4 linked regions of the Schizosaccharomyces pombe genome follow. Changing the gene in region 1 together with any one later gene gives a genetic interaction. Each region holds a gene or a part of one and is shown on either strand. Other genes may lie near its edges. The genes, in order: rga4, pmk1, rga6 and rga3.

The links.
Region 2: mutations in rga4 (region 1) and pmk1 impair growth when combined (synthetic growth defect), as found in Schizosaccharomyces pombe (2 studies listed by BioGRID, with this or other methods).
Region 3: of rga4 (region 1) and rga6, changing one enhances a phenotype caused by changing the other (phenotypic enhancement), as found in Schizosaccharomyces pombe (2 studies listed by BioGRID).
Region 4: of rga4 (region 1) and rga3, changing one enhances a phenotype caused by changing the other (phenotypic enhancement), as found in Schizosaccharomyces pombe (one study listed by BioGRID).

Annotation. Positions count from the first base shown.
Region 1 is NC_003423.3:1,837,851-1,843,706, reverse strand, and holds rga4 (Rho-type GTPase-activating protein Rga4), read right to left. Parts: upstream 4,292-5,856; 5' UTR 4,085-4,291; coding exon 3,998-4,084; exon of another isoform or gene 3,861-3,997; coding exon 3,805-3,860; exon of another isoform or gene 3,663-3,804; coding exon 3,313-3,662; exon of another isoform or gene 3,250-3,312; coding exon 941-3,249; 3' UTR 520-940; downstream 1-519. Other genes in the region: protein Cbp7, read right to left, coding at 1-246; SPOM_SPBC28E12.02 (BICC1 family RNA-binding protein), read right to left, coding at 5,389-5,856. UniProt on the Schizosaccharomyces pombe protein: GTPase-activating protein for Rho-type proteins.
Region 2 is NC_003423.3:728,812-733,491, reverse strand, and holds pmk1 (MAP kinase Pmk1), read right to left. Parts: upstream 2,677-4,680; 5' UTR 2,633-2,676; coding exon 2,567-2,632; exon of another isoform or gene 2,467-2,566; coding exon 2,287-2,466; intron 2,014-2,286; coding exon 1,942-2,013; intron 1,860-1,941; coding exon 909-1,859; 3' UTR 540-908; downstream 1-539. Other genes in the region: serine/threonine protein kinase Vps15, read right to left, coding at 2,846-4,680. UniProt on the Schizosaccharomyces pombe protein: Regulates cell integrity and functions coordinately with the protein kinase C pathway (pck1 and pck2). Involved the regulation of wall architecture, cell shape, cytokinesis in exponential and stationary phase, and metabolism of ions.
Region 3 is NC_003423.3:579,135-584,394, reverse strand, and holds rga6 (Rho-type GTPase-activating protein Rga6), read right to left. Parts: upstream 3,251-5,260; 5' UTR 3,149-3,250; coding exon 947-3,148; 3' UTR 602-946; downstream 1-601. Other genes in the region: protein Vac8, read left to right, coding at 1-353, 435-601; glyceraldehyde 3-phosphate dehydrogenase Gpd3, read right to left, coding at 4,657-5,260.
Region 4 is NC_003424.3:5,122,996-5,130,564, forward strand, and holds rga3 (Rho-type GTPase-activating protein Rga3), read right to left. Parts: upstream 6,039-7,569; 5' UTR 5,844-6,038; coding exon 2,934-5,843; 3' UTR 2,238-2,933; coding exon of another isoform or gene 1,785-2,237; 3' UTR 1,619-1,784; coding exon of another isoform or gene 1,397-1,618; 3' UTR 333-1,396; downstream 1-332. Other genes in the region: SPOM_SPAC29A4.22 (uncharacterized protein), read left to right, coding at 1,397-1,618; protein mug108, read left to right, coding at 1,785-2,237; RNA polymerase I upstream activation factor complex subunit Rrn5, read right to left, coding at 7,060-7,569. UniProt on the Schizosaccharomyces pombe protein: GTPase-activating protein for Rho-type proteins.

The sequences.
Region 1 (5,856 bases):
GTCCACAAGTAGGCATTCTATATGTTTGGGCTTTTGACTTCGAAGAAGAATGTTGTCAACTCGTTTAGGAATTGCAGATGAATTTTTTTTATAAACAATCGCCTTTGGCTCTAGCATTTTGCTGTGCAGCTTACAATGGGTTAGGATAACCGGTCTTTGGTCAACTGGTTTTTTTATTTGAGACTTTGCGACGAACCAGCCGGCTTCAGTCGGGCCCAAAATGCATCGTTTAATAACATCTGCCATTAGTAAAATTCCGTAATTTTGTTCACATAGATAATAAAATATCCTGCTTAAAGACCCTCTTTTCTCAAAAAAAAGTGGTAGTAAAACAGGAGTTGGTTTTTTGTTAGACGTTCGAAACTCTATTTAACCCCCTTCAAAAAATTTACCATATAACGTATATAATTTTTGTTTATAGGAATTGCTTTTGGTTTTTTAGAATTCCATTAAGATAATGGGCATGATATATCTACAAAATCACTTACTCACAATACGTTGCACTAGCATTTCCTAAGTTAGGGATCTTGGGAAAAAATGCTTCTTTAAATCCTTGAAAGCATAATAAAATTAAAAAAAAATACAAATTTCTCCTTTTTTATACATGCAATTGCATTTTATTCATAGCCTAGCATTGTGAGTAATGCCAAGTAGACTAAAACAGGGAAATGATTAAATAAAAGCGATGGATGTCAGTCTGCAGTGATAATGCATTATGAAGAAGCTATACGCCAAATCCATAAAACACTCATCTGCCACTGATTTCACGATGACATCTAAAAATGACCAAAAATGAAACTATCTTAGCAAATGCAAAAAGGAATCTCGATATAACTGCCCAAAGTTATGGTACAACTACTAAAACAACAAAAAAAGACGAATAAAGAATATAAAGGAACGTGCAAAACAAAAGAGCGAATTATTAAAGGATAGTGTGAATTTAGGCAAAGACTTCATGTACATGATCTATCAAAAACGCAAGACTGTAATTCTTAACAGTCATGTCAATAACGTCTCTGGAATTATCGGGGTCGCGTATTAATGTTGGGGAAAATACTACTGCAAGGTTCTTGGATGTCATTCGATTTGCATGACTATATGCAGCAACCCTTGCTAAATGTCTAATAATGAGCTGCAAAATTTCAGCATGAGCTGGAGGAAGACTTTTGATGACCATTATAAAACCGTCTAATTTATCTTGGAAAGAGGCACAATTTGCTGCTGTGATGAACGGAAAGTATTGGTCATAGGTAATAATTGGATTAGGAAGGTTGCGAAGATATTGCTTGAATACAGAAGTGACAGCAGAAATATCCTCACTTGGATCAAGTACCGTATCTTCATTTCTTAGTAACGCAACAATTTTTTTCATTTGAGAAGTTGCCCCTGATTTGCGATACAGACCTTCAAAATCCATGCCGTATGACTCGATAAAATTTATACAAGAAACGATAAGCGTCGGGACTCTCAAGAGTGTTAGCCTGTTTTGATCGAAGTCGTCAGGATTCAAAGCCCAAACAGGAGATTCGCTTTTTTTAGATTGATACTGACGATCTATAGTAGAACTAACGCAATCCTGATAATGTGCTCTAAGCTCATTGGAGTATTTACCGCAAAGTTTGCAGTGACCGACCGCTGGAACGAAATCCTCTTGTTCTTCAGAAGCTAAATGTTCTTCAGAAATACTGGGAGTACTCGACATGTGAGGAGAATCTCTTTTCCAATGAAACCGTTTAGAAAATGACTTCTTAAGATCTATTTTAGAGTTCCGTTTGTTATACCCTCCACTCTCCTTGTCTTTATTGTCTTTGGGTCTAAATCCAAGGCTAGATGCAACCATTTGTAGACGCGAAAACGATTCTCGCGGAGACGGGGTTGAAATCGTTCGGTTGGATTTTTTATCATTATTAAATATTCCGAAAGAGGAAGAAGTTCGCTTCTTATGCTGCTGCTCCCTCAAGTATGCCAATTCTCTCTCCAATTGATTGTTAAGGCTTACCAGTTCTGTGTTCTTAACATTCAGATATGCGGTTTCTTCCATTACAGTGCTGTAAGCGTTTTGCAATTTAGAGACAGTCGTAGACAAAGCGTCTCGCCTCAAAAGTAAGGTAGACAGTTCAGGTTGAAAAGATTTCCGTAAATAATCTAATCTATAATTTAAATCTGCAACCAACTCTTGCTTGAAAGCTTCGGGGGACACGGGAGTCTGCTGCTCTATGATAGAAGCCAACGAAGTCGCTTCCAACAATAAGGTTCCAACCTCAGCTTGAAGCTCTGAAATACGAATGGCGAGTTCATTTGCGCTTTCCTCTGTAGCATCAAATACGTTTGAAGTAAACACATCACTTGCTCTAACCAAAGAACTTCGATTGTATTCAGGTTCACATGCTTGATGCAAACTAACTTGCGACAAATTTAAACTTTTGGCCCGCGGGGAAGCCTCATAATTTGAAGAGTTCGTCAATCTTTTCTTCAAGCCGTTTGGTTCGCTACTAAGTCGTTTGTCATCTAACTTATTAAATACCGTAGGATATCTAGGAAATCTAGCCTTTGTAGGAGTTTCGTCGCTTTCCAATCCGTTAACGTAATATTCGTCAAGATTAGATAAACTGTTTCGATTTCTAGGAACCTTTAAATTACATTTATTTGTGACATCACGAAGAGCACCCCTTAAATGGATAGGAGATAGAGCTATTCTGCCAGACACATATCCATATTTAGATGGTGATGTTGTTGTCGAAACAGATTTGTAATTCATAGTAGAAGAGCGGCGAAGTGGAGGAGGATTAACAACGCTTTCATTTTTAGGAAGTTGAGGAAGCGTACCATTTTCGGTTGGTGATTGAACAAAGGCGTGATAAGCAACAGGTTGCTGCACGCTATTATTATTTACTACTGAGCTTTGCCTTGAAGAAACTGGTTCAATTGGTATCGAACTTCCAGAATGAAAAGAGTCACACGAATCAAATGGAGAGGCATTAGCTGAACGAAATGAGGGACCATTAGCTAGTGGAGAGGGAGAGGTTTTAACGAAAGAATTTTTGGGTTTAAGTAAGAAGTCCTTTTGGATGTCTTTGTAAGATTTTGCGGAGTTTATATCACCAGGTGTTTCATAACCATTAGTTTGAACTTTTAATTGAGGACGGAGAGAGTTTGTAGGAGAGCTGGTATTTTGCATTCGACCAGATAATACGGAGGATGGAGAATCAGACGCTATAAAATGCGGGTTTTGAAAGCCTTGGTTTTGCCCTAAAATTAAAGTTAGAAACATAAAGACAATATCAATAAATACTACATAAGCAACAAACTTACCAGTTAAAGAAGTGTTTTCCGCAGTTTGTGCGATATTCCTAAGAGGAATAAACCCTGATGCGCTTTCCATAACAGCCTTTTGATTCTCTTCATCTTGTTTACGCAAACAAGGAAGGCAGTAATGTTGACCTTTGAACTTGCCAAAAGCATTTGAATTAATGAAAGCTCGACAATTGGAGCAACAAGGATGATTAGCTTGACTATTGCTTACTGCGTTGAACTCGCAAATAGGAGTTGAGCAACCGTTGCAGATATCAACACATAATTTACAGAATATTTGCTTTTGATCGTCTTGAGAAAAATCTTCAGAGGAAGGGTCTAATTTTTTGTTGCAGTTCACACATTTAAAACTAGCAAACCGTCTTAATTAGTAAATCAAAACAACAAGAAGCACAAACAAGGGTAATCTTTGGAGCATTTTATATTTTTTTATTCAATCTATAAGAAAAAAAAAAGATCCAAAAATCCCAACGTTTGCATTTTCAATCATACCAATCGGAATGCCAACATTTCCCACCGAACCAAACTTGAGAGGTACTGGGAACACTCTAGAGCAAAAGTTAGTAAATGCCGTTCATTACAGCTGGGAAAAAATAAAAGAGCAGTGTCCAATTTCAAGACAGGGTCTCGTTTTGTGAAAAGACCGCTCTCCGGACACGGCGATTAAATTTTGAACCTCACATACTTCCCAACATTTAATACAAAAACAAGTACGTTCGGATGGCGTCTCCAAACTAAGTCTGTCCAGATGAAGTGTCGTACCCGAATTCATAAGGAAATCAATATTCTGAAAATTAAAAGAAAGGTGTTTCCCAAGAGAATGGATAGGTAAATTACACCAGCTCAAAAAATGAGCGGCAGCTAAGATAGAAAACTCTTTACGGTTTTATTCAAAGTTTGTTCTTGATTAAAAAATAAATAAAAATACCAAGGCTTTACAACATTTGCTAGCTCTTTTAAACTCGTAGCCGTTTGTGGTGGAGGTCAAAGAATAGGACCTTTGTTTATATAGAAGGCTACACTGGCATTTGTTCCTTTTGTTACCGCTATGGCTTTGCAGCGAATAAACCACCAGGTTTCGATCTAGCTATTATTAATATTTGCTTATTTTCCAGATTCTTTCTATATCGTTTCCTTATGTTTCATACTTTGTGTAAGTGATGGTTGCTTCCTTCATATTATTTTGAGATTTTGAAACATTTAAAATGATATTGCTTATACAAATTTATCGAGATTTATTGTACGACTAAAAATGAACTATACAACATTCCCCCTGTTCATCTTTCGTTAGTGTTATTAGCAATCCTGTCAGCGAGAACGAAGTATTGCTCGACTCTTGAGAAAAAATAAGAGTGGCTTGTTTCTGTGCTACTTGATTAGTTCGTTCAGTTAAGCGTAATATAATTTGTATAAAAAAAACCGAAGAAACCCAATAACCGCAAAGGGTGCATTACGGTTCACACGTCTTTTTTTATAGTCGAACGACGTCTTTATGTTTAACAACTCTTGTGTAATCCCTTTTTGTTTCTTTAATTTACTAATTTAATCATCATGCATTCCAAAGAAAGTGGATGGATTAACTCAATATCGTTTTCTCATCAAATACGATTCTAATTAACTGGTCAAAGAGTGTTAGATGTCACAGCGTATAGCAAGTTGATTAATAACGGTTAGTGCCAGTTTCTACTTCTTTTTACTGAAAAGATGTTTGTTGTTATTATATCAATCTAGCTGTGTTTATCGACGTTTTATCTTTTGTTTTCAATGACAATTTATTAACAAAATAAGAAATAAAAAAGGCATACGAACAGTGGTTGCCGTCCTGCACAAATCGTTGAACTGCTTAAAGTTTAAACTTGTCATGTGCTTCAAAATTCTGCGTGGATCACGTTCATTAAATTATATTGTGCACTTAAGATGTGTATCAAAGTTGATACAGTGGAGCACTTTTGATTTTCAAAAAATTTAGTTTCCGAATTTAATAACCAGCTTGAGTGTCTGTTATGGACATAAAAAATATAACGAGAAAGTGTGGTGATCTATGGGCAGGTCGATGACTGGATTCTGACTTAAAATTCAATTAGCAAACAAATACTTCGGGATGTCGTATCCTAATCCTTCAGCTGTCTTAATGAATAAAGATCGGACGGCCCACAAATTTTCGGAGAACTTTGATGGTGTGCGAATGAGCACGTTGTGCCCGTAACAGTCAAAAGGAGTAGTTGAGAATTCAATGTAACTATTATAAAGTTTAGTTACACGTTGGATTTGCTCTCCTCGAAATCCAATGAGTTTTTTGTGAATCTCCTCTGGAACGTAAAAGTGCATCTCAGCTGGAAATTCAAGCAACATTGTGTTCATTCCTTTAATTACTCTTTCCAATTCGTCACTATATATATCAACCGTGAATATACTCGTCGACTGGGGACAAAACAAGATGTCCCCATTCTTTAAGTTGAAACGGCATTGCTGCTTTACCTTATCCAGTTTTCCATTTTTTTTACCGGATATGAAATCTTGATCCTTGGTTGGGGCTTCAAGCAG
Region 2 (4,680 bases), 1.1 Mb from region 1:
CAACCATTAATGACTTTTTGTTCACTTATTTGTGACGTCGTTTTTCCCTTTTATTTTTCCCGTTAGCCTTTACTGGAATCAAGGTCGCCCGCCTTCTGCTTTATTTCATTGCTAGTAATGGATGCCATAGCGGCAATTGCCAAAATTTTCTCCTAAAAAAAACTGTTCCTTTTATATAGGATTTGCGCATCATGATTTGCTTTCCCAAAAAACAACGGAATCTGTACGACCTTTTTTGCAGGTATTTGTAAAGGCTTTCCCTTTCTATTGTAAAACTTCATTCGCGTCTCGAATATCATCTTACATATTTTTTCTGATTTATAAAAATATGCACATAATTTCATATTCGACCGCTTTGCATTTCATTATAAGACGCTTCTACTTGAAGAGAGCTATCCTTGTGCACGAATGTTGTTTAATTGTTGCAGGATACAAATTCATGACTGATGTATTTATTCATCTATTTTGTCTTGGTTAGTTAGTTTTGTGATTTCATTGGGATGTTCCCTAATAAAGGAAATTACTCTACCACAGATATACTCGTTCACTAGTAAAAGTAATATTTTTAAGTAATTAGCTGTTCTATTTATATATTTTTCTAGTTGTAGTACGGGTGTATATGCATGCATGTATGTATAACAAAATGTTTCAAGCTGTGAGACTATAAAGCGTGCAAGAAAAGGGAGCACAAAGATCGCCAAATATTATATGCAAAACAGTAAATGAAGGACTAATGCAAATGAGTATTTTTTATGGAAATTAAACGAGCAAACAGAGATTCGACAGTAGCCAGCAAAGCTCAAAAGATAGCAATAGCTAATTTATGTAAAAATGAGAAAACGCAATGAATGATTTGTATGCAAATGTTACCGTAAAAAGGCTCAATAAAACCAGCTGCTGCCAATGTATTAGTTATGGCGATTATCATCAGACTTATGGTCTATAGCAGCAGTTTCATTATAAGAATGATCATGGCGCTTTTTGTTAGAGGTTTGAGAGGATGAAGAGCTACTAACATTGAAAGAACCATTGTCATTAGATGGAACGGTTTGGGCTGGTTGCGGGATGTTGACTGTTGGGTTTGTTGGATGAGAGCGGCGTCGGACTTTCTGACGGAAGTTTAAAACTTCATCTAAAATGACACGGCGTAACTCATTTGCATCCTCAATGTATTCAAAGCTGAAATCAAAGACGGAATCACACACAGGTTCGTCAGAGGGATCATGCCAAACAGCTAAATAGGGATGTTCTAAAGCATCGTCAACCGAAATACGTCTGTTGGGGTCGAAAGCCAAGAGCTTAGCAAGCAGGTCAAGAGCCAAAGGATTGGCTTTAGGAAAATTGGTTTCAAAAGGAATAGGTCTTTGCTTTGGCAAGCTTCGAACATACTCCTGTGCACGGGAACTGCTTATATGAGACAGGGTTTCCTCATCAGGTGTGCCAAGTTGATGCAAAATTAAATTTAACTGATGAACAAAATCTTTTCCCTTAAACAAAGGGGTTCCACCTAATAGCTCTGCCAAAATGCAACCAACACTCCAAACATCAATACCTTTATGATAGCTGCTGAACGAAAGCATAATTTCCGGAGCTCTGTACCAGCGCGTTGCCACATACTCCGTCATAAAACCAGGATTTTCTTCTGGATTTTCAGAACATCCGCGAGCGAGGCCAAAATCGCAAATTTTCAGCTCACAATCAGCGTTAACTAAAAGATTACCTGGCTTTAAGTCACGATGAATAACGTTGGCAGAATGAATATACTTTAAACCACAAAGTATCTGGTAAATGAATGATTGAAAATGCGCATCCGTTAATGGCTGACCGGATTTAATAATAGCATTCAAATCGGCCTCCATCTATTATAATAGTTAGTAAGTAATTATACAAATATTTCCGTGACTAAAACAGACACCATATGTGGATCATCGCGTAACATACCAACTCTTCGTAAATGTAAACTTCATTAAAATTGTATGGATTTATAATGTCGAGATCGTAAATGCAAGTAATCTACCATGTTAGTAAAGTTTATAAAAAATAGGAAAGACATCACTATGCAAATGTAAGACAATGAGCAGTTCAAATTTTTTAATCAACCGAATTCCAAACATTATATCAAGATTTATAAAGGAAATACTTTTCAAGGATGATTAGAACTCATTTCTCATAGAAGACTTTTCATTGTATAAAAATTTGCATTTTCATCAAAATGCACCTCGTTAATACATCCCGGTGATGATGAGTAATCAATCACAGGAAGCCGTTTTTGCATAAAAGACTTACGTTACGATGATTACGAAAATGAATCAGCAGTTTTATCTCTCTCAAAGCTCTTTTTGTAAGAATGGATTTAGAAAACACATTCGTAATTTTTTTTATGGCTACAGCCTCTTGATCTTTGCTAGCCACGTTTCTTGCTGCACAAACAATGCCGTAAGCGCCTTGACCCAACTCCTTCACTACCTAAACTATGTTAGTTTTCCTAAAAGTTCAAGCAGATGCGATTTTCTGTCAAGTAAACAAAATGTTTTGCAAATGCAGCAGTTACCCAAATATCTCATACCTTAAAATTAGGCTCGACATACATCTCCTGGTTAAACACACGGTAAACACGATGTCGACGGTCCATCCTTGCGACTTATAGCATGCAACTTGAATTTTTAGCTGTTTGGCAAAAGGGATGTGGAAAAAACTACAGTACATCACTTGTAGTGATTAACGATGCCTTATATTTCACTATTTGAATGCAAGTCGGTTAGATTTGAAGACTATCAGATGGAATTTATGGTATTAAAGAATATGCATACAAATCTAATAAATATATGAGGAATACTAAAAGAAACTAGGTCCAGAGTTCAAGACTACCAAAAGCGTCAACAATAAGCACTATAGCGTACGGTTGGTACAAGAAGGCCATGTCAACGATGGGGTGCAGACGATTTTCGCTAGGTAGATTCTTTTGCTGTTGAAGGAATAGAAGAGGCCTTGACACTCCCGAAGACTTTGGGCGTACATTCTGTTGTTCAGAGACTTTTTGGTAGATAGGAGGTTTGTTATGTATTAAAGATAGTTTTGAACTCTCGGAGTCGTTGGTCACCGACGAACTAGCAGAGACATTGTGGGGATTCCAAATAAACGCATGAGGGCTTCCAGAAGCGGCAATGAGAAAAAGTGGCTCTCGTTCGACAGAACCTGCAGACGGACCTCTGTACCTATAGATTGGACTAGATATACAAGGCCAAGGAGAGTCGAATTTGGTATTCAAATCTCTTAATCCCATGTCATTGCCAGAATCTATATCAAACTTTTTTTTTTCATTAAAAGCATCAATTCCAACAGATACCGGAATCGGACTGGTGAGTGAAGAATTCCAGTTTTCTAAGAAAACCTCTTCGGTTTTCCCTTTTTCAACGTCAAAATTTACTATGCCTGAAGCGGATCTGTGACTCGCTGGAACTGCATCTTCAAGATTAACTTCTTTATTATCCAAGTTGGTAAGGACGCTAAAACTGATACTGACTGTAGTGCTTCCAAACGAGTTTAACATTCCGTGATTTTCTAAAGGATTGATGGGAATAGTAGAGTTAATTGGCTGAGTACTACTTGAACTTGTACTTGAGCTACCTGGAACCTTGGTAACGGGACTATTGTTATTTCCGGAAGTATACTCATTAACGTTGCTACGTTTTTTGGTAACATCTAAAAGAAGATGCATCTGATCAATCCTGGCTGGCATATGCCAAGAGCATGATAATGTCCCAAAGCGGAGGTCCCAAAGTAAGAGCCATCCTTTGGTAGTCCCAATTAAAGCCCAATTACAACCCTCAGAAACTACTACACTAGTAGCTGACCCACACTGTAATGGTAATTGGTCTGATGACAAAACCCTCATCATTCCCACGTCTAAGTATACGATGCGTGACCATTTTGTAACAACGACTAGACGGATACTCCCGTCGTGAAATGTAGAAGCTTCCATGGAGGTTACAGAATCACTGAAATCCAAATTGGGAATACGACCAGCCGAAATTAGAGTATGCCGCTGATTGTTAACGTCAAGTCTGTGAACTTCCACAGAGCCATCTTGAGTAACAGAAGCAAAAGCGTATGTATTACCTAGAAAGCATCCATTGACCACAGAAAATCTATTCCTCTCGCCATTACGTCGCGTATGCCCATAACTTAATCGGCATTCACATCTCATAGTTGAAATATGACGAACACTTTCAACTAATTGCCATGCTCTTACAACACCGTCAGATCCCAAGGTAACGAAAAAAGATGAATCTGGACTAACCAAAACTTTCTTCGTACCTCCATCAAGAAGGCTTCCTAAATATATCTGAGCAACTCGTGATCCTTCTGGATGCCATTCATGAGTCTGAACTATTTTATTCGCAGCCTTCGCAGACACCTTTGTTCTACGACGCAAAGGTATATTAGAAGCCCAGCTTGGTGAAACAGCAGCACCAACGTTAAGTGTCGAAGCCGCTGCTTCTGCATAAATTTTATTTAAATAATTTAAGACGCATGGATTAGTTCCAGTATACGATGATTTTTTTGCGCCATTTTGCCTCGTGGTAAGCTTTTTCAAATCGATATGAGTAGTAAATGATCTTTGGCTTCGAATACCGGCAACATTAGTTGTATCATTCGTTGAAACCCTAGAAGAGATCA
Region 3 (5,260 bases), 1.3 Mb from region 1:
TCAAAAACTTCGCTGTTTAATTTTAGATGCTCCTGTTAGCGTGCAAAGTGAAATGACTGCCTGTCTAGCCGTTCTTGCTTTAAGTGACGAATTCAAGTCGTATCTTCTTAACTTTGGTATTTGTAATGTTTTAATCCCATTGACAGACTCTATGTCGATTGAAGTCCAAGGCAACTCTGCGGCTGCTCTGGGTAATCTTTCTTCTAATGTCGATGATTATAGCCGGTTCATAGAGTGTTGGGATTCTCCAGCTGGTGGCATTCATGGTTATCTGGTCAGGTTTTTAAGTAGTGAAGATTCTACTTTTGCCCATATTGCTGCTTGGACCATTGTACAATTACTAGAGGCTGGTGGTAAGTTTTTTTTAGAGAATTTATTGACGATTTTGTCTACACACGATATACGGAATATATTCTTTAGCTAACTCATTATAGTTCCACGTTTAACTGCATTTATACAATCTAGCGACGATATCATCGAATTACTTAATGACATAGTTGCTAGAGATGCTAATAATGGAGAGTATGAAGATGGTGAAGGCGATGTTATATTATTATCTGGCCGGGCATTGCATTTAATTGAACAGGACACAGATTCTTAATTTTTATTTTTATTGGCACATTATATTACCCTTCATCTCTTTATATTTTTACCGTCTCAACCCCGTTTGCCAGTTCGGAAGTCTATTTGACTTAATGACATGAATCACATTTTATTAATGATTAGTTTTTTAGAAGATGATAAAAGTTCGTCCGTAGTTGATTCCAAATAATAAACTTATCCCTTCAACACCTGAATAAAACATGTGACATGGAAAAACTAACATGCATATCTTAATAAATACTACTATGAAACCAAAAAATATCAAAATGAACCTAAACTTTAAGAGCAAACAAATGGTTGTAATATATGATAAATAAATGACACCGAAAACAGAAATCCTTTCTTAAGATTTCTTCTTGTTTGATCGGAATTTACCAAACAGTTTTGTCCACAAACTGACCCTTGGAGATGCCTTTTTATTAATCTTCTGCGATTTTTTATTGGTTTCCGAAGAAGCAGTAACAGTGACCGGTGACTTTGCGACGATCGGTTTTGTATTGTTCACGAATGGCGGTGATGTGCGAGTTGACGGTTTACTATCTGTAGCAGCTGAAATAACCGACCGCGATGAAATGTTATTAGCAAAACTCATGGAAGGAACAGCAGTATCAGAAACGGTGGAAATCTTAGGCTGGGGCTGTTGATTGTCAACAACGACTTTGGTACTCTCATTTGCTACAGCATCATCATTTTCTTGGTTACCCGATTCATTATCGGAAGAGTCATTGATTAAAGGAAGCTTCGAGATATGCTTAACATTAGGATAACTTTCCTCAGATGCATTCACATTTTCAGGTATCTGTTCTGGAGAATCTTCTTTCGGGACTGCAGGAGTAAAAATAGCAACTTGGTCAGTTAACCCAACATCAGAAAAACAATTGGGTATGTCGAGAGAATTGATTTTAAGTAGTACCTCTGGCCAGTGAATAATCAGTCCCTCTACAATCTTGGCTTCAACTCTAGCCTTTTCGGTTTCAAATCTCATAAGGTCATTCACATTTCCAGAAGGACAAGATTTCGAAAGATCAGTAGAAGAGTTACCCAACAATAAAGGACCAAAAATAATACCAAGGGCTTCCGGCTTCATCAAAGTAGAGTCTTTGGTATTTTCCATTCCATTTTCCAACTCTTGAGTCCGTGTAGCTATTTGATGCAATAATGCTAGTAGAGAGCAAAGGATAGAAAAGCGCACGTAAGAATCTATTTGTGAAAAGCAAAGAGCGGCCATTTCATTCCGGATGTCTATAGGAACCTTTACTCTACTTGAATCAACGTATAATGGTACTAAAAGATTCAATATATCTTTATGCGTAAAAAGGCCACCTGGCAATAACATAATGTACCGTTTTAAGACAGCTGCTATATCGATATAACTTGGAAATCCAATACGCTTAAAAATTTCTGATGTTTCATCAAGCCAAAAATGAGGTGGAGAATAAAAGTATTCTGTGATTGCTTTTATTACGGGACCAGAACCACTAATGCGGAAAATTCCCGGTACATGCAAAGCATTTAAAGATAGAAAATGTACGCATTGAGCAAAAATATGTGGGAGCAACAAAGAAGGAGGTGCACATTCAGGAGTGGGAAATGTAAATTTGCAAAGATTTGTGGGATCTGACGTTAAATCGCCGATAGGTTTACCAAATACGGAAGGATTATGAGCAATTGCATTATGTTGATGTGCATTACGATGAGGAAATTTAAAATAATTCGTTAAAGAACGACGATGCAAGCCAGTGGACTGACGTTTTGGAGAGTAAGTAAGAGAGGGGCGGCGGAGGATAGAGGACCAAGATCCCTTGGAAGGGCTTCGCTTTGGAGAATCTTGAGAGGCATTGAACTGTCTTTGAGAGCCAAATGAAGATGGTGGGTATTGGAGAGGTTCCAACGTATCTGATGAGGATAGTTGATTCGTAGCCGACAAGGAGGGAGAATCTTGTGAAGTTTGTAACTCGTGTGAAAGGGAGCTTAGATTTAGGGATGACCTCCCTAGAGGACCATTGTTTGAAGGTTTATCAAACCGAACTTCTGATACTGCGCTTTCTTGAAGGTAAAAGCTAACATGTTCTAGGGAGGACGGAGTATCTCTCTCTTCCAATAGTGTCGAGTGTATCAGCTTAGTAGGGGATCCACATGGAGTGAAATATTTATCAGTATGAGCATCTGGAGGTGAAGAACTTTTGGATTCATTAAATACGCTATCGTCGGAGTACAGAGATTGTTTAACCTCTTTTATCTGGGAAACGTACTCCTCGAGATTAATTTCGTGTATGTTGTAAGTCTGAGCTAGCTCACGAAAGCGTGACAAGCACGAATTTTGCTTAGTAAAGAAAGGAGCTTGCTGTCCCTCCAAATTGCTTGCAGATGATGAAATTGATGTGGAAAGGCCATTTTCCACTTTCGCTAACGATCCTCCCACCTCTAGCGACGGTTCTTCGAAACGTTTCTCATCGGTCTGCGCATTGCTAGACAAGACGACATCCTTGTGCTCTTTCAGGTCCCCAAGAGTTCCATTGTTGAGAGTCGAAGGATTTAAGGTCATACTTCTCCCAACAATTTCAAATTTTACTACACGAGGTTTTCGAGGCCCGTAAAAGCTATAAACCTCAATATATACTCTCCACTGATAGAATTTTGAAATAAATGTCGATTAGAGAGACGTTGGCTTTGGTAAGAACCGTTCTACATCCGTTACTTACTAAGAGGTTCAGCCAAGTAGCAGGCGTTGAAAAGTAGAGTACGAGCCGAAGCGAAAGATAGGTGAACAAGTAGTCACATATTGAACGAACCAAAAACTCATCTTCTACACGGACTATTGTAATTTAAGGAAAGACAGCAGCTTTCAAACTCCCATGGTGCAGTTACTAATGGAAGTATTCCACTGAGAAATCTGAGAAGCAATCTTATTATTAGTTCGTAAGGAATTCAAATGTTTGGCACCAAAGCAGATATTGTTACTATATGAATTGATAATTTAAATAACAATCTCATGCTTAAACACACTTTCAAGCTATTGGAACATGAGACACAAGTATAAACAGTTCCATAGATGAGCCTCGCAATCGAGCGATTGTTTCTCGCTTAGATATAACTGTATTTTTTATGAGGGTACATGTGACTAGCAATGCGGTATCAAAAAACCAAAGGACAAAATACAAAAAACAGGATTAGCTGTTATCCAGAAAAGAATCAAATGCAAGCATGAAATTTTTTGAATAATTTTCTGAAGCACAAACAGCTCTAAGTATCAAACATTAAGAGTTGCGAGAACCGCCTAAATGGAACACTCGCTTTCATCATCATACTTGATGGTCTGAGATTGATCTGGAAAGTGGAGTGAACGAACACTAAGAATGAAAATGCTAAATTTAAATTGCTATCTATTAATATATAATTTTTCTTATCGTTTGACTTACACTTCCATTCTAGAAACTTGCAAATAGGGGCAGTAAAGATAGGCAGCAGAGGCCCTCAAAAGGACTGAAAAATTATTTACTTCACCCAAAAAAGCGTGGGCCAAGTTTATGGAAACATCTTAGCGAATATCTATCATCAAGACGAAAACAATTATCTCAAATGCAAACGGTAATAGAATGCTAACAAGCAACTATGATAACTATATAATGCTTTATAAATCAGTCTACCTTTTTTACCTCCAATAAACTACCACATTTCAAATCAAAATTTTCATACACCACATACTTTACGGATTTTTTACACATTAAAAACAAGTGAAGAAAAAACAATTCATTTAAAATTATATCTTAATCTATTTCGTAGAAAGGTCGTCAGCTATAGAGATCGCCCTAGGAGCGCAATCAAAATGATAACGTGGAATAAAAGAGGAAAATCTCATACATGTCTATCATTATCGTAGCAAACCCCAGAAAAGGAAAAGGGGGAAAACAAGCATAAGAATAAAAAACCAAAAGTTCGCACATATGTAAGACCCCCCAAAACCGAACGCATGTTCAGTTGAATAGCTTGGAGTTTAACAACGGCTGATTAGAGAGATATAGATTGACGACGGAATAAATCGAAAGAAGCAATCTAATCCTTGGAAGCAGTGTAGGCAACCAAGTCAACAACACGGTGGGAGTAACCCCATTCGTTATCGTACCAAGAGACGAGCTTGACGAATTGAGGAGAAAGTTGGATACCGGCAGAGGCATCGAAGATGGAGGAGTGGTTGTCACCACAGAAGTCGGTGGAGACAACAGAGTCCTCGGTGTAACCCAACACACCCTTCATGGGACCCTCAGAGGCAGCCTTGATAGCAGCCTTGATGTCCTCGTAGTTGGTAGGCTTGGCCAACTTGACGGTCAAGTCAACAACGGAAACATCGGGGGTAGGGACACGGAAAGCCATACCGGTAAGCTTACCGTTAAGAGCGGGAATAACCTTACCGACGGCCTTGGCGGCACCAGTGGAGGAGGGGATGATGTTGGCGCTGGCGCCACGACCACCACGCCAGTCCTTCTTAGAGGGACCGTCAACGGTCTTTTGGGTGGCAGTGGTAGCGTGAACAGTGGTCATGAGACCCTCTTCAATACCGAAGGTGTCGTTGATGACCTTGGCAAGGGGAGCCAAACAGTTGGTGGTGCAAGAGGCGTTGGAGATAACCTTCTCGGAGGGGTTGAACTTCTCCAAGTTA
Region 4 (7,569 bases), on another chromosome or scaffold:
ACAACACAGTGAGCTCATCCACAGTGAATAAAAAGAAAGTCCAAATAAAGGTTATTTTCGTTATAATACAAAGATGTCGTAAAGAACGACGATCAAAGAAAAACAAGTGAGCAAAAAGGAAACTCTAAAAAAAAGAGAGAGAGAGAGAGAGAAACTCTCCGAGTATGTGTGTGTGTATGTTTGAGTCTCTTTTGTGTATGCGAGAAGAGAAAGACAGCAGGAAAATAAAGAAGAAATAGAAATAGAAATAAAAAGTCAAAACTATTTATTGTAGCTCAATGAAAGCCAGTATCTCACGCTGACCAAAAAAAAAATGAAAAGAGAAAGAGAGCAGAAAAAAAAAAAAAAAAGTTATTGAAAACAAGAAACAATCAAAACCATCTATTTCAAGATGACATGTATGACAAAGAACGCTAGTCAAAAAAAAGGCAATTCATACAAAGAAATAAAAAAAAAAAGAGAGAGAGAAAACAAAGGACTCCTATAATCATAAAGCAAGATTACCAACAATGGACAGAGATGGATAAAGAAAACCAATGGTGGAACAAAGACAAAAAAAAAAGAAAAAGTGGAACAAAACAAAATGCGAATCAAAGAAATTGAACAGAAAATTGAGCAAAAAAAACTTTAGTTCTGAGACAAACAAACAAAAATTTTCATCTTCTTTAACTTTTTCTTTCTTTTTTTTTTCTTTTTTCTTTTATGTTTTTATTTCTTCCATCCATTATTGATGTCTCGTTTGAATCCCTTTCTTTCACCCACCCCTCTCTTCCTGCAGTCTTTTTCGTCATGCCATTACCCCATCTTTTCAGGTAGCATCGACTCAGCCTTGTGACTCCAAGTGTGGGGAAGCGAAGGCGGAGAAAAAAGGGATTAGGAAGGGTGTCGATCATGACGCAATGCCATAACATCTCTGATGCACAACACCGTATTATAGACTGACTAAGCTTGCCGCGGAAATCAATTAATTGTCAAGAAGGCAGAAAAAAGAAAGAAAGAATATAAAACAACAACATAAAGCAAAAATAGAAAAGACATAAAAAAAAGACTGACCCTCTAAAGTCTTGTTTCCTTTTTGTTTTTCTCCTGGACAATTAAAACGACGCTTGTTTTCCGTGCCATACTTGAGACTGCGATACCACGGGATGAACAGCCTCTTCTAAACCAACCTGCCATTTTCTCTTCTTTTCCTTCATCCATCCATCAATCATACTTCGTCCTGCTTACTTGTGTGCTCCATTGCATTATCACCAAACCCTCCTCCTCCTCTTGGCCTGTTTCGTAAACCCACTTAACGGATCTCGCCGAGGTACACACTCACGGAAATATGCTATATGGGTGGTGGAAGTGAAGAGGTTGGCGCCACGATTGCAGTGGATGACGATGCTGGATAACAATGGAGTTGCGGGTGAAAGGACGAGTAAGGCACACTTACATTCAATGTAGCAACCCAATACGTATGACATTTGGCCACAGCAAGGAGATAAATAGAAGGTTGGGCACTAAGAGTGAAAATTCCATTCCCAAAATACAGTACATATATATTTCATCCTTCGTAATAACAAATACCGAATCGTATTCATATCCACCCTTATTGATCATCAGCGAGTCAAGCTAAATTACCCACCCACTGACAATCTAACAACAACAATAACAAAACAAACAATAACCAATTGAGTTGAAAATTGTTATTGACAGTCCAATCCAATCCAAATCCAAATCAATTTGAAATTGAATTTCATCCAATACTAATTGACTAATCGAATTTCTTCAAATCCACCGCAATGGCAAATCGTTTTACTTCTAGTGATCAAACTCAAGAAACCCATGGTCATCATGTTGACAAACACTCCTTCTCCGGTAGACAACGCCATCCTTCGATGGGCGTTCATTCATTCAACGAATACATGAATGAATATCCAGAGGCCGGACCTTTGGTCCAGGAAGAGGAGGATGACATGGAGAGCTCCAGCTACCATGCCACTCAGGAAGATATCGGCGACGATGACTCCAGGTCCGAGTCTACTCGCAACCGTTCCAGTCAACATACTGGCCGTGTTAATTTCTCGTCTCTTGGCGGTCTTGGCAGCATCTTTGGAGGAAAGAAATCACGCTCCAAGAGCGCTAATGGAACACAAAAGAAAAATGCAAACAATAACGAGGAACAACTTGATGAGGAAGAGCAAAACGATCCTTATCTTGATAGGGATATAAGCCTTTTAGGTAGTACTATTTGATTGCTTTTGTTTTTTTTTTCTTACTCCCTTGTAATTTTTATTTTTTGATTAGTCATACCCTGACTGACAATGTTGCAGATTACATTTAATTATGCCATCCATCCCCTTTCACGTTCACTGCCATTCATCCCTCACCATGTTCCCCATACCATTCTTTGAGATTTCGAGACATGATGGCACGACCGTAGTGTTTGTGTATGTATGTGTCTTTGATGAGTTGTTTATGTTGTGTTTATGTTCAAGTTATGAGAAACGAAATACTCGAACCAAATCGAGTTGAGTTCTGTTTAGTATCGTTAAAAAGAGTTTGTTTTCTTTTTTTTTTATCAAATTAGCATTATATTTTCCTTATTTTGCATCTCGCAATGCTTAATGGCAAATATCTTTATACAATCTCCATTTGCGTGCGTATTTATTTGTATCTGATGAGCGTGCGTGTGCTTGCCTGCTTGTCATAATGTACATCCTGTATTACCCAGTTTGAATAGTTCAGTCGTAAATGTAAGAGTGTTATGCTAATATCTTTGTTTTCCTTTTTTCATTAAAAAAAAGAGGTGTAAAAAAAGTCTCATTATTTCTTCGAAAAGTATTCCTTATTGAAGTTTGGAACACAAGTGGTTATTATTATCGTAAAGTTCCTTCTTCCCTAGAAAAATACAAGTTCCCCGATATTTTAATCATTATTCATAAAACAAGCTACAGATTATGAAGAATCTTATCCACGTTATCAAGCATAAACTGAAGAGCCGTACTCTTTTTGGTAGCATGCTGTAAATCAAACCGATTCACCTTATCTCGCATTAAAGTAGGTGCAAATACTGTAGAGACATTTTTCGAGTTCATCAAATTTTTCTCCGCGTGCTTGCATACACGACCCAAATGTGCAATCAAAAATCGAAATACGCTCAAATGTGCAGGATGAAGCGTTTTCATTACTTCCACTACCCGTTCAATTTTTTCCTCTTCCTTTTCGATTTTTTCCGCTTCCAACAACTCCTCGTATTGAGTGCCAGGTATAACTGGTTCCGGTAAGCGATGCAAATATGTTTTCAAAACCGACGTACAGGCAAACAAGTCAGAAGTCAAATGCTCCATTCGGATAGACCCGTTTTCAAATTCGTCGACTAACACTCGGACCTGAGAAGCACTGCCAGATATCCTATAAATACCTTCAACCTCCAATCCATGCGCATCCACGCAAGAAACGCACATAGCAATTACTTGAGGCAAAACCGACCCTTCAATTTTCAATTGATTTTCTAACGATCGTCCAAACATCGTTGGTGAAGGCCCAGGAGGAGGCATCCTCGTTGGCATTTCCGGCATCCATTTACTATTTTCACTTACAGTTTCACTCATTGTTTTCTCATGCTCCGACTCTGCAAACAGCCTTTTTAAACACCGCGAATGGCATGAAATTGAGCAATGAAAGCAGCGGAGTTCAGATCCCCATACGCTCTCCGAGCATATATAACACCTTGAGGGCTTGAATATGGCATTAACATGAAACACATGGTCACATTGAGTACGATCTTCATTTCCTACTACAGGATCGGCAGACTTTGATTTAGTATGCATTGATTTGAACGGGACTTTACGGTTTACATCTCTTGGTTGCAAATGCATACTTCCCTTTTTTCCCTTAATGTCAATTCTCGTAGTCACATTCAAATTTGGTGACAACGGACCAGGTCGACCTGATGACTGCCCAGAGTTGCTACTCACGGCAGTAAGTGGATTAATACTGCTGGTTGTATTTTTGGAAGATGTGGTAATAGTATGCTCCAAATTGGATTGGTTTTCAGGAGGTACTCTATGCTGAATTTGTTTTACCAAATTGTTGTTTAAGTCGGCCAACTCGAGATTTTTGGTATTTAGGTGTACAGATGCTTCAAGCGATTCATTTAAAATTTTTTGTACATTATTGTAATCGTCAAGCAGCTCATTTCTCCTTTCCAAAAGATTGTTTATTTCAGTGCCGTAACTCTCACGAAGCATTGCCATGTAAGCATTGGCGGCAGCCACCAAATCCTGATGTTTCGGATCTTTCAGCGTGGGATCATCTGTCACATCAGCAAACGAAAAAAACTTTTCACAAATTTCAAGTTTAGCCGAACGAACAGTATCCTTATCTTCCGTACGAATAAACTTAGAGTTGTCAAACGTAGAACTTGAGAGCCTTTCGGACAATTTTTTGGTAAGAGCAGTAAGATTTTCCAACTGTTCACGCAATTCTTCAACATCCGAATCTCGCTCTGATTGTGCTGGAGTTGAAGAATGATCGTTTGTCGGTAAATGGTACTCTCCATTAGATCCCAGCGAAGGAACGAGTGTTTGCTGAGAAGTCTCAGAAAGAGAATGCGAATGCCGAAAACTTTTATGGCCCCCGCCATTTGGTTTGGGAGAAAGAACCTGAGGCGGTGAAAGTAGCTGCGCAAAAGATGAAAGGTCAGATGGCTGAGAAGAGGTTTTTTTATGGGTTTGGACATTCGGTGAGCGGGTTCTCGGTGAATGCGTATCACTCGACCTGTAAGAGGGAGAAAAAGGCCGAAAGGGAGAGGTGGCATTGTGAAGAGAACGCATATGTCCATTCATGACAATTGGCTCTGCTCGGTCAGTCAATGACATGGTTTTATAAGGAGAAGCAGAGCCAGCAAAGTCGTCCAGGGCTTCCTCATTAATTGTGGGTTTTAAGCTGTCCGAGGAAGAGCTATCGTTAACAGGAGTAAAAGATTGTTTGTGAAACGTATGGAATCGATTCTTCCAAGTATTTTTGCTTAACGGAAATGTGGCTGTAGGAGACTCAATTTGTTGCTGCTTGTTAACTTTTTGTAACGGAGATATAGAAGGTGAAATAGGAAAGAAAGAATCGTCATACTTCATCGGCGATTCAAAACTCGTAAACGAGGAAAAACTTCGATTTTTGGCACTAGGCAGCAGCGAATCTGCAGAATTAGACGCAAGATTACTATCCTGTCCATCGTTCGGCACATTACCCCCTTCTGCCTGACTCATGTTAGTCGGTGTTTCGCTAACTAAGCGGTCTCTGCTTCCACCAAAAGGTGATAATGGTGGCTTTTGAGGAGACATAATTTCAATGCTTAAAGACTTATTAGATTCCACTGAAGACTTTGTCTCTGTGGGCTTAATCGTGACATCAACCTCAAAATTGTGATAATCAGCGCTCTCGTCTGAAGACCTGGAAGGGTGACGGACTTGTTTACAATCATTACAAAATATAGTCCTATTATCTCTTTTAAAGTTAGAGTCAATTATTTGCTTTCGGCAATCATGGCAACGAAAACACTCTCTGTGATAGGAGTCGTAGCCTGACATTAGGGCATAGTCCTTGATCCTCATACGACACGCTGTACAGGTATGGGCGCAAGAGCTACACACCGGTCGTCCATCAGAGGTTTGCACCAGCATTTGATCACTGTGCTCCAATCCTTTATCGCACTTCGTACAGCAGAAGCAATCCTTATGCCACATATGACCCCCAAACGAAATAGGTGTCTCTCTACGTTGAAATGCCTGTCCGCAGCGAAAGCATACTGTGCTTCCCTTGCTTGATGGAGATTTGGAAATACTTTTTCGAAATATCATCTTATCGTATATATGCTCTTCTTATTTCCTGCTAAACGTTATGAACTTCAATCTAGCGTCATGAATTTGGCTTTGTTGATTTTTATTTTCACAACGATTCCTTTGGGTACCTATTTTCATTCCTCAGCTTCCCATCAAGTAAATGAAAATATTCCCAATTTTATGATTGAAGTTCGAAACAATTGGTAAATGGCTAAGGAATAATTATTACTGCAGTTGTTGGCATCATTGCCCAGTGGAGCGGTGAGAACGGCAGTAGCGAGTCGTTCACTCTAATCCCTTAAAATTTGCATGCGTCGTACACATGGCACTATGGTCTTTGGCTTGCCTTGCCCTAGCCTAGCGAAACACTATGGAAATTATCGCCGTGTTCTACGATATGGTGCGTAAAATTGCCAAAAGTCACATGGTTTATTACGGGAGTTTAGACGAAACGGGTGTTATGAATAGCTATTAAATACGATTATAATATTACAGATAATTAATTTTAATGGGTTTGGCAGCGTTTCCGCTCTCTAGGCTTTTCTTTCCACTCAAAAATGGTGATATTTGTGAAAAGGGAAATTGCCGAAATTAGAAGGAAAAAGGAAAATGAACTGTTTTTCTGGCTTAAATAGCTTTACCTTTAGAAAAAACCCGCTAAAAAATGGTTAAAGATATATACATTCCTGATCAAAAAACACAGAGGACAAAAAAAAAGAAAAAATTTCGGTAGCAACAGGAGTAAACAGAAGGAGAGATGCTTTCTAGAGAAAAAAATTTTGTAGACGTTTGTAGCGTGAACGGTCGGATCGTCAAATAAAGGGACAAGAGAAAATGCTCGTTTCCAAAAAGTGTAGAATTTATAAAATGTGTATCTCAAATAGCGGGGTCGCTATAATTGATTAAGTAACTATTGCTTTTAAGAAGGAAGTAAAGGCTCCTAAAAAAAATTTTTATAGTTGTGGTGCGAATATTGGGACAATTATACGGAAGAAAGCAATCAGTTTTTAACAAAAAAAGTTTCAGAATATTGTGAACACTGGGACTCATCATTATAAATGGCAATAACTGATTGCTATAAAGAGGAAGTATTAAATTTTCTTTCTAGGAAAAAACAAACTTGGCAGAAAATGACGATAAAAAGAAAGGATTGCTATCCAACACAGAGGCAGCGCTAAAAAACAATTTATGTTTTTGTAAAGGCTTCAAGACTGTAGTTCGAAAATGAAGACATCTATTTTAAAGGGAGTGACAACTCCCAAGAAGAGACAGGTTTTGCAAGTTTCCTTTCAGGATCTTCTGTACTATTTGGAAGATTAGACAAATCATAGGATATTAACCCTACATATCCGCTTTCAAGTTCAGATACGACTTCAGCTGCACCCGGGGCATGGGAAACAACTGGATCCTTGTAATAATAACATATAGGTTGAACTTCATCATCACTATCGGAATGTTCGTCAATGTTGTGCAAGCTCTTGGAAGTTATTTTAAGAGTCGTAAACACGTCGGAACCTTTTAACTTGTCTTTCATTCGCTTTTGAGCCAGCAAATTACTAAGTGGTATAGTTTCAAAAAGAGCGTCCTCTGTCGACATCTCATCGGTTAAATGCAGCACATATTTCCAAACAAAGCTTTCGTAGTTTTTGGATTGAATCATGTCGTAGGCTTCGACGCTGTCATCAATTTCCACAAGACTTTCTTCTGCGACACTTTCATCCATGAACATTTGAGCATTATCAGG